3 linked regions of the Danio rerio genome follow. Each later gene encodes a partner of the first gene's protein in a complex. Links are inferred from orthologs where the notes say so. Each region holds a gene or a part of one and is shown in the gene's direction. Other genes may lie near its edges. The genes, in order: mks1, tmem17 and tmem107l.

Region 1 (3,759 bases):
GTACACCACGTCTGATGGCCTCCTGACAGACCCTTAGAATGGCATCTCTCTCCGGCCCTTCGCCACTTTTCACAAACAGACAACTTGCACTCCTTCTTCCCCGAGTGAGAGCCAATAAACATGGGGCCACACCAAACACAATCTCAAACTCTTTATCTTGATTTGGTTGGGAGTCTTTACGGATGCTACTAGATTCTGATTCGCTAAGATCCTCAAACCTCAGTTTCTGAAGTTCTGATGACAGCTTTTTCCCTGTTTTTGAAAAATGAACTGCCTGGGATGGTTTTCTCTGACTTTTTGTTGATTTGTGAATTTCATTTCTGTTTGTGGCAAATGTTTTTTTGAGTTTATTGGAGGAAAATTTCTCGTCTGACCTTAAAACAAGGTCTCTTCGATAGAAGAATGATCTTGTGCAAATTTGCTGTGCATAAAATACTGGTGTGAAATACAATTCATTCAGCCCTACAAAACATCTTTTGCTTGTTTGGCTGGACACCTGGTACACTCTAATACTTGTTTTCCACACTTGCATATTTGCAACTGATGAATGTTTAAAAAAAAAGAAAAAAGAAAAAATGTTTCTTTAAAAAAACAACGTAAACAAGTTGATTTGTTGGTTTTAGATTCGTTTGGCACTGATGTAAAATTGGTTTTGAATGTACACATTTGTTTACGGTGCCTATATTTTAACCCACGTTACTTTGAATATTTGGTCTGAATTAGCATGCAAGTACACCTTTAAAACAACATTAGCTCTAACCTTATTAAACTGACTGTGAACAACGTACTTTGATACTGGCTGCTAATATAATTTCCTCGTTTAAAATTAGCAAATGAGACATTTCTGATGAAAGGACAATCTCTAAATGTGCAAATACACCATATTTACCCCAGTCCGTTTGGTTCTTGTCATCTGGTTAGGCTACAATACACATTTAGAAATTCGAGCTGGTATAGTCTGGCAAACTAAGGAGGTCAGCTCAACGCAATATGTTTATTTTAAATGTAAGATTCCTTTTCACTAAAAACCTCAAAACATTTCAAACAAAGCAAAAATGTCTATAGTTCCCAAGTAAAATGCGACATAAGGAAACTAAATAATCGACCGTGTTTAACAAACATGTGGAACAGCTTTCAGTTTGTTGCCAGTGGGTGACAGGAAAAGTAAATGTGTTACCGCTTGCAGATCAGTAGTGAGCACCGGTCATTTATCAGAAGTTCGATCTCAAAGCAGCACAGGCTGATTTGAGAACAGCATATGTTTGCCAGTACTGAGCATGCGTGCATATGGCTTCCGGCCGCTTCCGTTTTAGATTGTTACTATGCAACAAGACGCTCTGATGTGTGGCGTTAACTGTTTTCAGCAGTATTGCATTCACGAGTGAATTATATCAAAACATTTTAAGCTGCCTTAGTCTTGATGTGAGTGTTTTTATAGTAACCGGTGGGAGTTCTACACTATATGTGAAGACTTTTATCTTTTGACGCTGTGTGTCAGATATGGCTGACGGCTGGTGCTCTGACAACGGAGAATCGGTTTACCGTTCCAGGGATGCAGTTAAAAACTTCCGAATACGGTAAGACACGTCGCCTGTGTGCATGTATAACAAACTGATGTATATATTTTAAAGCATTATGAACTATTTTGGACACGGTACTGTGGTGTTGTTTTGGAAGAGCTGTGAAAATACCACAGTAAATTAAAGGGATAGATAGTTCCCCTAAAACTGAAAACTCTGTCATCATTTACTCGCCCTGCTTTTTTCAAACCTTTTCTTTAAGTTTCTTTATATTGCTGAACACAGTAATTCTTCAAAATAGCTTCTCTTCTATAAAAAAAGAAATACTTGAGGCTGAGTAAATACATTAGAAATTGTATCCCTTTGAAAACTATCCCTTTAAATTTTACTTATTTCTATATTATATCAGAGTAACATTGTATTGCATACATCATTACTCTGTGATTTTGTTTAGTTTAGTTTATTTCTCAGTGTACATTAATCATTCACCTAGAACGTAAATATACTTATATTAACCCAAAGACTAGTTTTCATTATTAAGGTAAAGTTGGTTTTATATTCACACATTAATTCAGTGACAACTTGTGACACATTCCCTGCATCGTTTACTACGGCACTTAGAAGATTCGTTCTAAAATAACCTGCAAATGTGACTTGAAAACAACATTACACTGTTTATTTGACTGTGAACAATGTTGTACTTTGATAGTCATTGGCTGCTAATATGATTTCGCTATTTAGAGTTTGCAAATAATACTTTTATGAAATTATATTAGGAGAAAGTCTGAATGTGCGAATATAAAACCAACTTTACCTTTATGTTTTCATTGGTAGTCCCTTTGCCAGATGTTAAAGGCCATACCAATAAAAAAACAAATTCAACTAAAAACAAAACTCAATTAAACAACAGAAAACAACCACAACAACATCAAAAAGCCCAGTGTTCAAAATATTGAATAATAATAAGAAAATTTCTAAAAATGATACTCAAAAAAATCACAATCTCTAACAGATTGTGGTATCTTATTTCACTGATGGGATGCTTTCAAAGAAAAACAAGCTTGACCAAAACAAGTTTTTTAAGTTGAATAGTACAATCAGCTCTATCTGTACCTCAAGTCTTTTGTTTTCTACAGATTTAAACTAGAAAAAAGTTTTACGCAGCGGATGTCCTTCTTGCTGCAACCCCTTACTGGGAGACATCCATATACACTCATTCACATATATACACTACAGACAATTTAGCTTGCCCAACCAATTCACCTATACCACATGTCTTTAGACTGTGGGGGAAATAAGAGCACCGGGAGGAAAACTACATCAACACTGGGATGGGGAGAACATGCAAACTCCACACAGAAATGCTAACTGACCCAGCCAAGACTCAAACCAGCGACCTTTTTGCTGTGAGCGATTGTGCTCCCCACTGCGCCACGGTGATGCCAATCTTTTAAACTGCACAACCATTTTTAAACTTGATTTTTTCCCAACCAAGCAGGCTATGGTTTTTTTAAATATTGAAAAAAAAATTTTTTTTTTACTAAAATCTTTACTAAAAAATTCCAAAAGAAATTACTAAATTACTAAAAAATTACTAATACTTTCCTTCTTAGACTTTAAAGACCTGAAACTTGCCTATAGCACTTATTCATTGTTGCTCTAACAGTTGTGTAAATTGCTTCCTTGTCCTCATTTGTAAGTCGCTTTGGATAAAAGCGTCTGCTAAATGACTAAATGTAAATGTAAATAGTACAGTGTTGAAAACTAAACTTTTTATCCAAAATTTGTTGTTCTTGTTTATATAATATTTATATAGTTCTTTTTATATAATAATTCGAAAGGTTTCAAAACTGTAAAACTTGTTTTTGTGTTAAACCAAATTATCAGACAATTCATATGAGAGAGGATCGTAGAATTTATATACATTTTTGTAGCCTTATTTGATAAAGAATTTCCAATAAACCTAAAATTACCTATATTCAATTTGACCTTGTTACATACCTTTTTATATGTGTTTTAAAACCAAGACAGGAGTCCAGACAAACCCATAGGTATTTACACTCTGTGACATCTTGAACTTTCTCTCCTGAGATAACAACATCCTGTTTTGTTTCAATACGCATGTACTTCTCTAAATGACATGAAGCTATTTTTGACACATTTAATTTTGTGAAACTGCAACTGTTTTTTTGTAAAAGTTTTCACAATGATTCTGTATAATAACTAAATCAATAGTGCT
Region 2 (3,759 bases), on another chromosome or scaffold:
ACATTCATAGCTCCAGCAGGTAAATCATCATATGGAACATTTAGCTGTGTTTGTCTAATTAAGTAGGCCTATATTTTCCATAATAATCACTATAATCACAGGCTACAGCAAATCATTTTATTAAAACCATGTCAACAGTAGGCCTATAAATAGTAAAAAAAAATGCAATATTAATATTCTAAAAGTTAATATAAATTCATGGTGTATAATATTAAATTAAACGTGTAATATTTATTTTTCCATTGAAGATGAGGCAGAAGCAGGTTCAAAAAATGAGGGAGACCACCGAGCATGAGCTAAATCACACAGGTACAGGTAAGACTGTTAATCTGGAAGGGATATGCTAGAGTGTCATACAAAGATAGATGGACATTTAAATAATTTAAATATTGTAAATGCTTTGTTATTCATTCTAAGATGAAACTCCCTCCGAGTCAACTCAGCAAAGTAAAGGTGATGGAGACAGAAAATGTTCAGATTGTCCATCCAACAGTAAATAGTTTCTGTTATTATCCGCAATGTGTAAATGTGAATCACATACATGTAAGATGAGCTTATCAAGATCTTTCAGGACAAAAAAAGTTTTGTTTTTAAAGGTACAGGTAAATATAAAAATGTAAAATGGTAAATAGTTCTGAAATTATTACAGAGTGTACTGTTTTTTCTTTTAATTGTACTTTTACAACAACTAGAAAATTTGTATAAGCAAGAACCCACCCACTTAGTGCCCCTGCCCCTCAAAATGTCTGTGCACGGCCCTGAATTGGTGGTTCATTCTGCTGTGGTGACCCCGGATTAATAAAGGGACTAAACCGAAAAGAAAATGAATGAATGAACCTTGGGTTGCAAAAAAAATATATCTTTTCATATTGTTTCTCAAAAGTGAAGAACCCAAAAAGAACCTTCTTTAAAATAAAGCTCTAAATTCTAATAGAAACCCTGGATCTCAAGACTGAATAAACTGAACATTGAGTAGTGGGCAGGGTTTTATTTTAGTTCTCATACTTGACGTCATCAGAGAAGGACCCCCACACCAGAGCAGAATCAAATAGGAGGTTTTTGATTAAAGATTACCTACAATAAAAATGATCAGCGACTTTACTTAATTGTTCACCTTAACACTACCAATGTCCTCTAGCAAAATAAACATTGTACATTTTTTTACTTCATGCTGACTTAAAGTGATAGTTTAAGCCAGGAATATTAATATTATTCTTTATACACATTGCAGGATAAAACTCAGCATAATGTATCTTATTTCGCCATCATACAAAGCAAGCAAACCTGTTAAGTGCAGCTGAGCAGTGTGTGTGAGTGAGAGTGAAAAACATCCCCCGGTGGTCACAGCTGGACCATCACAACCGCTCAAGAAGATCCGCCTTCGTTGCTACCATAGACTGGTTGCTACGGACACACGTCTGCTTCTCCCAACATGGACCTGCCTGAACCCATCAGGCGACGGCTTGGAGATTTCTCCAGAACCGTGTTTGTGGACCAAAGCCGTACACAACCCTCTTTCGAAGAGCACGCAAATTTTCTAGACCAAAGTAAGTGTGTTTGAGCTTCCATTTGATCTGCTACGTGAACGTTAGCTGTAGGGCTAATTCATCTGGTTAGCCGAGTTGTACGATTTCATGTAGCTTTTGCTAGTAAACATATTTTTTTCTGACGTCATATGCAGATATAATAATGCTTTATGGTAGCATTAATCTTAAAAGGAAGTTGATAACATTTGGCGTTATTCCTGTCTGGGACCTACGAAACTACGTTGCGTTACCAAAAAGCATAATAAATGGTTCGTTTGAATCGGATCTTCTTAATGGACCTTTTCATAAAACGTGATTAGTCAAAAAAACTACTTAAAGTAAGGCAACTAGATGATTTAATAGGTTGACGGAATCGAAATATTTTGGATATCTTTAACCAAGTTTAGTTAGGTAAAACAGCCAAGTGAACAAAGTTACTCATTTAAAACGAACTGTTCAAAAGAACCGATTCGCCAAATGTTATTTTACTCCATCCTATACAGGCTCCGAACACTGATTTATGTATTATTATTATACATATTATATATCTGTGGTTCCGAATCAGGTTATTTAGGATGCCCAAGATTAGTAAAAATGAACTTTATTCAAAGCTAATTTGTCATTTTAATTTTATGCACTATTATTTCTCAGATAAGGATGTAGTATCGAGTCTCCCTCTTCAGATGTCACTCTACTTTAACATGTGGTTCTTTCCTTTCTGGTGGATCAGTGAGGTTGTGATGCTTGACCTAAAGGTGATTCTCGTCTTTGTCATTTTTAACATTTCAATATGATCTTATGGCTGTTTAATCATATTACTGTTGTTAGATATTACAGCTAATAATCATTGTGCTTTTTCTTCTAGTACTCAGCCCTTGCAGATTATTACAAGTTCATCCTGATCACAATTCTCATTGTAATGACCCTGATTGAGGCTATTAGGCTGTATTTGGGCAATGCTGGAAATCTGCAAGAAAAGGTCAATCTTAATTTAATGTAATATCATGTAATATCCTATAATTGGTCCCATTATGCATCTGTTGTTTTTCAGTAGGTTCCAGAATTGGCTGGATTTTGGCTTCTGACTTTTCTACTTCAGTTTCCTCTGATTTTGTTCCAGCTCTTCAATGAGGCTGTTCTTGTTCAACCACTAGAGAGAGGAGTTCATATAATACTGGCCTTATTTATCTTTGCTGAGGTATCTATCTGTCTATCTTACAACTATTTTAAGTGACTATGTAGAATTTTTAACTCCTCATTGTTCAGAATTTGAAGGGATTTCAGTTGTGTACCAACAGAACAGTGTTTTATAAAACACTCAAGACACTTTGACAAAAAGCCATTATTTTGTGCAAAACACAGTGATTAGAGTTTAAGAACAGCAATGATATTGGTTGTAACATAAAGATTACAACTTTAATTTCCAAAGCCTACAACTGCTTTTGTCTCGATTGATTTTACTACATCTTCAGTACAGATTTTCACTCAGGAGGGAAGCACGAAAGCCATATTTTTATGCAGATTTGAATGAAACACTCCACTTCAGGAGGAACAGGCTCAACTTATAAGAGTTAAACAGAAAAGATTTGCCATTTTTTAATCCTTTTAGATGATCACTGGGTCTGGTGAAAACCCTTTTAGCTTCGCATAAATCATTAAATTAGATTAGACCATTAGCATCTTGCTCCAAAAATACAAATAATAACTGGAGATAATTTTTCTATTTAGAGCTTGACACTTTTCTAGTCACATTGTATACTAATGCTGTTCACACCAGACGTGGAAGGAGCGTCAAGCGCAAGTGATATGTTGATATGGCTAAGAACTATACTCTCATTTTGGTGTAATAATCAAGGGACTAGCTGCCATACCAAGGCTGCAGCAGGGACAATGTTAATATGTAGCACTGTTATCTAGATGGGAAATATTTTTTAGAATAAGAGTATAGTTCCTAGTACATAATGTAACTATAGAAGAGTGTGCGTGTATGTATGTATGTATGTATATATATATATATATATATATATATATATATATATATATATATATATATATGTGTATATATATATATATATATATATATATATATATATATATATATATATATATATATTTATATATAAATATAAATTATCTTGTGTAACTTATATAACTTTAAGTTTTTGTGCAAGAGGCTAATGGTCTAATCTGATTCAATGATTTATGCTAAGCTAAGCTAAAAGTGCTCACACCA
Region 3 (3,759 bases), on another chromosome or scaffold:
TGATAGCAAACCACTGAGTTAGTATTTATTTATTATTTACTAGACCAACGACGTCTGGCTGTAGGCTACAGTAAAAACTAATGATTCATTTATTTGTTGATTTGTGAATGCTGAAAACCTGCAACCATTGACATCCATATAGGAAAAACAAATGCTATGGAAGTTACAGGTTTCCAACTTTCTTTAAAGTATTGCCTTTATCGCTTAACAGAAGAAAGAAACTCACAAAGATTTACAACCACTTGAATAAACAGCAAACACGTTTTTATATTTGGGTGAGCTATCCTTTTAACTTATAGGGCTCTTATTACACACGTTTTATGCACTTACTATAATACCAATAAATTATGCATAATCACATGCAAAAACCCATAACCATAGTAAGTACTCCATATCGTTAATTAATGCCACTCAGTACTTTATGCTATAGATACACTGTAAAAATGAGACCGTAAAACAAAAAACAACTTAGTTTGTTTAAATGCATTTCATTTCGAGATTAGCACTGTCGCTTCACAGCAAGAAGGTTGCTGGTTCGAGTCCCGGCTGACATTTCTGCAGATGCTTTTTTCCCTGTGTTTGCTTGGGTTTCCTCCGGGTACTCCGGTTTCCCCCACAGTCCAAGGACATGTGCTATAGGTGAATTGAATAAACTAAATTGGCCATAGTATATGAGTTTGAATGAGTGTGTATGGATTTTCCCAGTGCTGGGTTGCAGCTGGAAGGGCATCCGCTGTGTAAAACATATGCTGGATAAGTTGGCAGTTCATTCCGCTGTGTCGACCACTGATAAATAAAGAGACTAAGCTGAAGGAAAATGAATGACTGAATAAAAGGCTTGTTTAAGACACCTCGAACACCTTGATAGTGCTCCCTATTGACCACAATAATGAAGTCTTTGAAATAAATTTTTTCCAATTGTCTTACTACTTGTCTGCGCTGCCATGTTCCAGTTCACCATTTTCAAGTTATTTCACCTTTAGTACCTGCTCTCAGCCGAAGGAAAATGAATGAATGAACATTTTGAGACATTGTAAAACCAAGTTGAGGACCAGTCAGAAAGCGACTCCTTCCAGCAGGTGACAGCATTGAGCTACTTGTTGGTCTGTTTTGACCATAACCCATTCGCCAAATAGAAGAAGAGTGTTGTCGTAGCAACCCGAAGCTTATATCGAGCGATAACTGTCCTCAAGCTTGATAAACTTATACGCATAGTAGCCTTATATACAGTGCTATATCTACTTTACTGCTCACCATTTGAAAAATCAGGTTTTAACAACTAACGCAAAGCTGGTACGTATACCATTTTGATATACAACCTCACGTTTTGTGAAGATGAACACGTTAAACCTTTAACTGTTAGTCATCCACTTGCACAGTTCAATCTAAGTTATTATGTCTTTCTTCTCTGTCTAGTGTTCAATGTCGGTGGTCAGCAGTCTGGTGCCTGCCCGTTTCCTCACTCTCATCGCGCACCTTGTAATAGTGATAATCATTTTCTGGTCTCGGGTAAGAAGTGTTCTTGTGTGTGTAATTGTTATTTTTATATCACACAACATCACTGCAGCCAGCTGTGTGTTTAAATGTGGAATGACCTACAGGAGTACAGTGTCCGAGCCTGTCTACCACTCGACTACACTAATGAAGAGTACACAGCAGAGGACACACGGTTGGGAAACACACTTTCTCTGTTCTGTATTGCTTCACAGTGGCTAAATGATAATATAATTATTTCGGTCATGTAGTGAGACTGAATAGTATTTTTTGATTCAACTTTATTGTCATTATACATGTACAAGGCAACAAAATGCAGTTGGGGTATACCTAGGAATGCGATAGCATCAAGTGCATGATATATGCACAGTGCTCAGCAAATGAGTACACCCCTTTGAAACAAAACAGATTTATTAAACAGATATATTTATTCAAATAATATTTTAGTCATCAAACATATTTAGAAATTGAAAGATATTACAATTACATTCAAGCAAAATAATCCAAAAAAGAAAAGAAATTACAACCTGCAAGATTTCAACTAAAATAGTCTTTTTTTTTTTCATTCCGCAATACAGAATGTATTTTAATTGTTAATTAAATGTACCTTTTAATTTATGAAACAAAATACTTTAAAATCTTTTGATGGCTTTTCTTGTTTGACCCATTTACAGCATATTATTGTTTGACTGATAGTAAATTGTACATTATTTATATGTAGATGTGAATAATGTTATGGAGTCAGATATAGTAAGTCCTGTTCATGACGCTGTCCTAACCATTGTTTTTGGAATACAGGCTTGTGGTGGCATTATCCGTGACTCTTGGCCTGTTAGCCATCGAGTTGGTTGGGTTTCTCTGTGGAATCTCTATGTTCAACAACAACCAAGCTCTTCTGTGTATCCTTACCAGTAGCACATCACCACTATAGGTTATATATATACTGTAGGTGTTGATGCATATAAATTGTGTATTATTTTCTTATATTTTCATGGATCGGAGTCAAATCTTCAACTTATGATTAACGCAAACAGCTCCCATATGTGTGTCTAGTACTAGTTTCTTACACATCTCATCCAAAGTCTTCTGTTTTGTTCAGATTTTTGACAGTAAATTACCTGAAGTCATGGGTCGTAAAAAATTATATGGAGCTGTAATGTGGTCAAGACCTACCTGGTATATAAAGTCAATCTAGGGCCATATATACAGTTGAAGTCAGAATTATTAGCCCTTTTGAATTATTACCCCCCTGTTTATTTTTTCCCCAATTTCTTTTAACGGAAAGTAGATTTTTTTCAACACATTTCTGAACATAATAGTTTTAATAACTTATTTCTAATAACTGATTTATTTTAGCTTTGCCATAATGACAGTAAATAATATTTGACTAGATATTTTTTAAGACACTTCTATACAGCTTAAAGTGACATTTAAAGGCTTAACTAGGTTAACTGGTTTAACTAGGCAGGATAGGGTAATTAGGCAAGTTATTGTATAACCATGGTTTGTTCTGTAGACTATCGAAACAATATATAGCTTAAAGAGCAATAATTTTGACCTTAAAATGGTGTTTAAAAAAAAAAATGCTTTTATCCTAACCGAAATAAAACAAATAAGACTTTCTCCAGAAGAAAAAACCCTTTTGGAAAAATAATAATTCAAAGGGGGGCTAATAATTCGGACTTCAACTGTACGTGCAAAATAAAATAAAACTTTGCAAACAACAAATAAAGTATTGAGCAAAAAATAAATAAATGTAAATGAAAAAAATAAAAAATACATTTTGCTAACAAAAATAAAGAACTGCAAAGGGGAAAATTGAGAAATAAAAATGAAATTTAAACAAAAAAGGAACTGCAAATAAACATCAAGCAGTAAAAAAACAAAACAAAAAGATTTGCAATAATCAAAAAAAAACTATATATATTTGCAAAACATTTTTATAGCATTGCTTTTACAAAACCTGCCCGGTCAGTTGCAATTGTCATTTTAATTAGATTTTAGTCAACTGTGAGTTTGTGATGCTGTTTTCACTTTGTACTTCACGTTTCTGCGCCTTTCACTTTGTGGCCCTGATTTGACAAGGGGACTGAGTCAAGGGAACTTAGAGGTTTACCTAAGGCCTGCCGTAAACGCCCAAGTTCCCTTGACTCCACCCCTTTGTCAAATCAAAATGAGCATTGCAGTTGACTGGATGGGTTAGGTCAAGGCTAAAAATGTTTTGCAAATATTTATATATTTTTTTTTTCAGTTCTTTTTTTGTTT

Evidence for each region.
Region 2: mks1 (region 1) and tmem17 share a complex: the UniProt entries of both Homo sapiens proteins name them as parts of the tectonic-like complex. The link is inferred for Danio rerio from reciprocal best matches to the Homo sapiens genes MKS1 and TMEM17.
Region 3: mks1 (region 1) and tmem107l share a complex: the UniProt entries of both Homo sapiens proteins name them as parts of the tectonic-like complex. The link is inferred for Danio rerio from reciprocal best matches to the Homo sapiens genes MKS1 and TMEM107.

The regions. Positions count from the first base shown.
Region 1 is NC_133180.1:61,446,796-61,450,554, reverse strand, and holds the start of mks1 (tectonic-like complex member MKS1), read left to right. Parts: upstream 1-1,285; 5' UTR 1,286-1,500; coding exon 1,501-1,577; intron 1,578-3,759. UniProt on the Homo sapiens protein: Component of the tectonic-like complex, a complex localized at the transition zone of primary cilia and acting as a barrier that prevents diffusion of transmembrane proteins between the cilia and plasma membranes.
Region 2 is NC_133200.1:30,968,027-30,971,785, forward strand, and holds the start of tmem17 (transmembrane protein 17B), read left to right. Parts: upstream 1-1,356; 5' UTR 1,357-1,432; coding exon 1,433-1,547; intron 1,548-2,177; coding exon 2,178-2,281; intron 2,282-2,391; coding exon 2,392-2,505; intron 2,506-2,580; coding exon 2,581-2,724; intron 2,725-3,759. Other genes in the region: PKc_like domain-containing protein, read right to left, coding at 1,285-1,331. UniProt on the Homo sapiens protein: Transmembrane component of the tectonic-like complex, a complex localized at the transition zone of primary cilia and acting as a barrier that prevents diffusion of transmembrane proteins between the cilia and plasma membranes.
Region 3 is NC_133198.1:31,419,421-31,423,179, reverse strand, and holds the start of tmem107l (transmembrane protein 107 like), read left to right. Parts: upstream 1-1,136; 5' UTR 1,137-1,293; intron 1,294-1,416; 5' UTR 1,417-1,422; coding exon 1,423-1,509; intron 1,510-1,601; coding exon 1,602-1,669; intron 1,670-2,292; coding exon 2,293-2,393; intron 2,394-3,759. UniProt on the Homo sapiens protein: Plays a role in cilia formation and embryonic patterning. Requires for normal Sonic hedgehog (Shh) signaling in the neural tube and acts in combination with GLI2 and GLI3 to pattern ventral and intermediate neuronal cell types.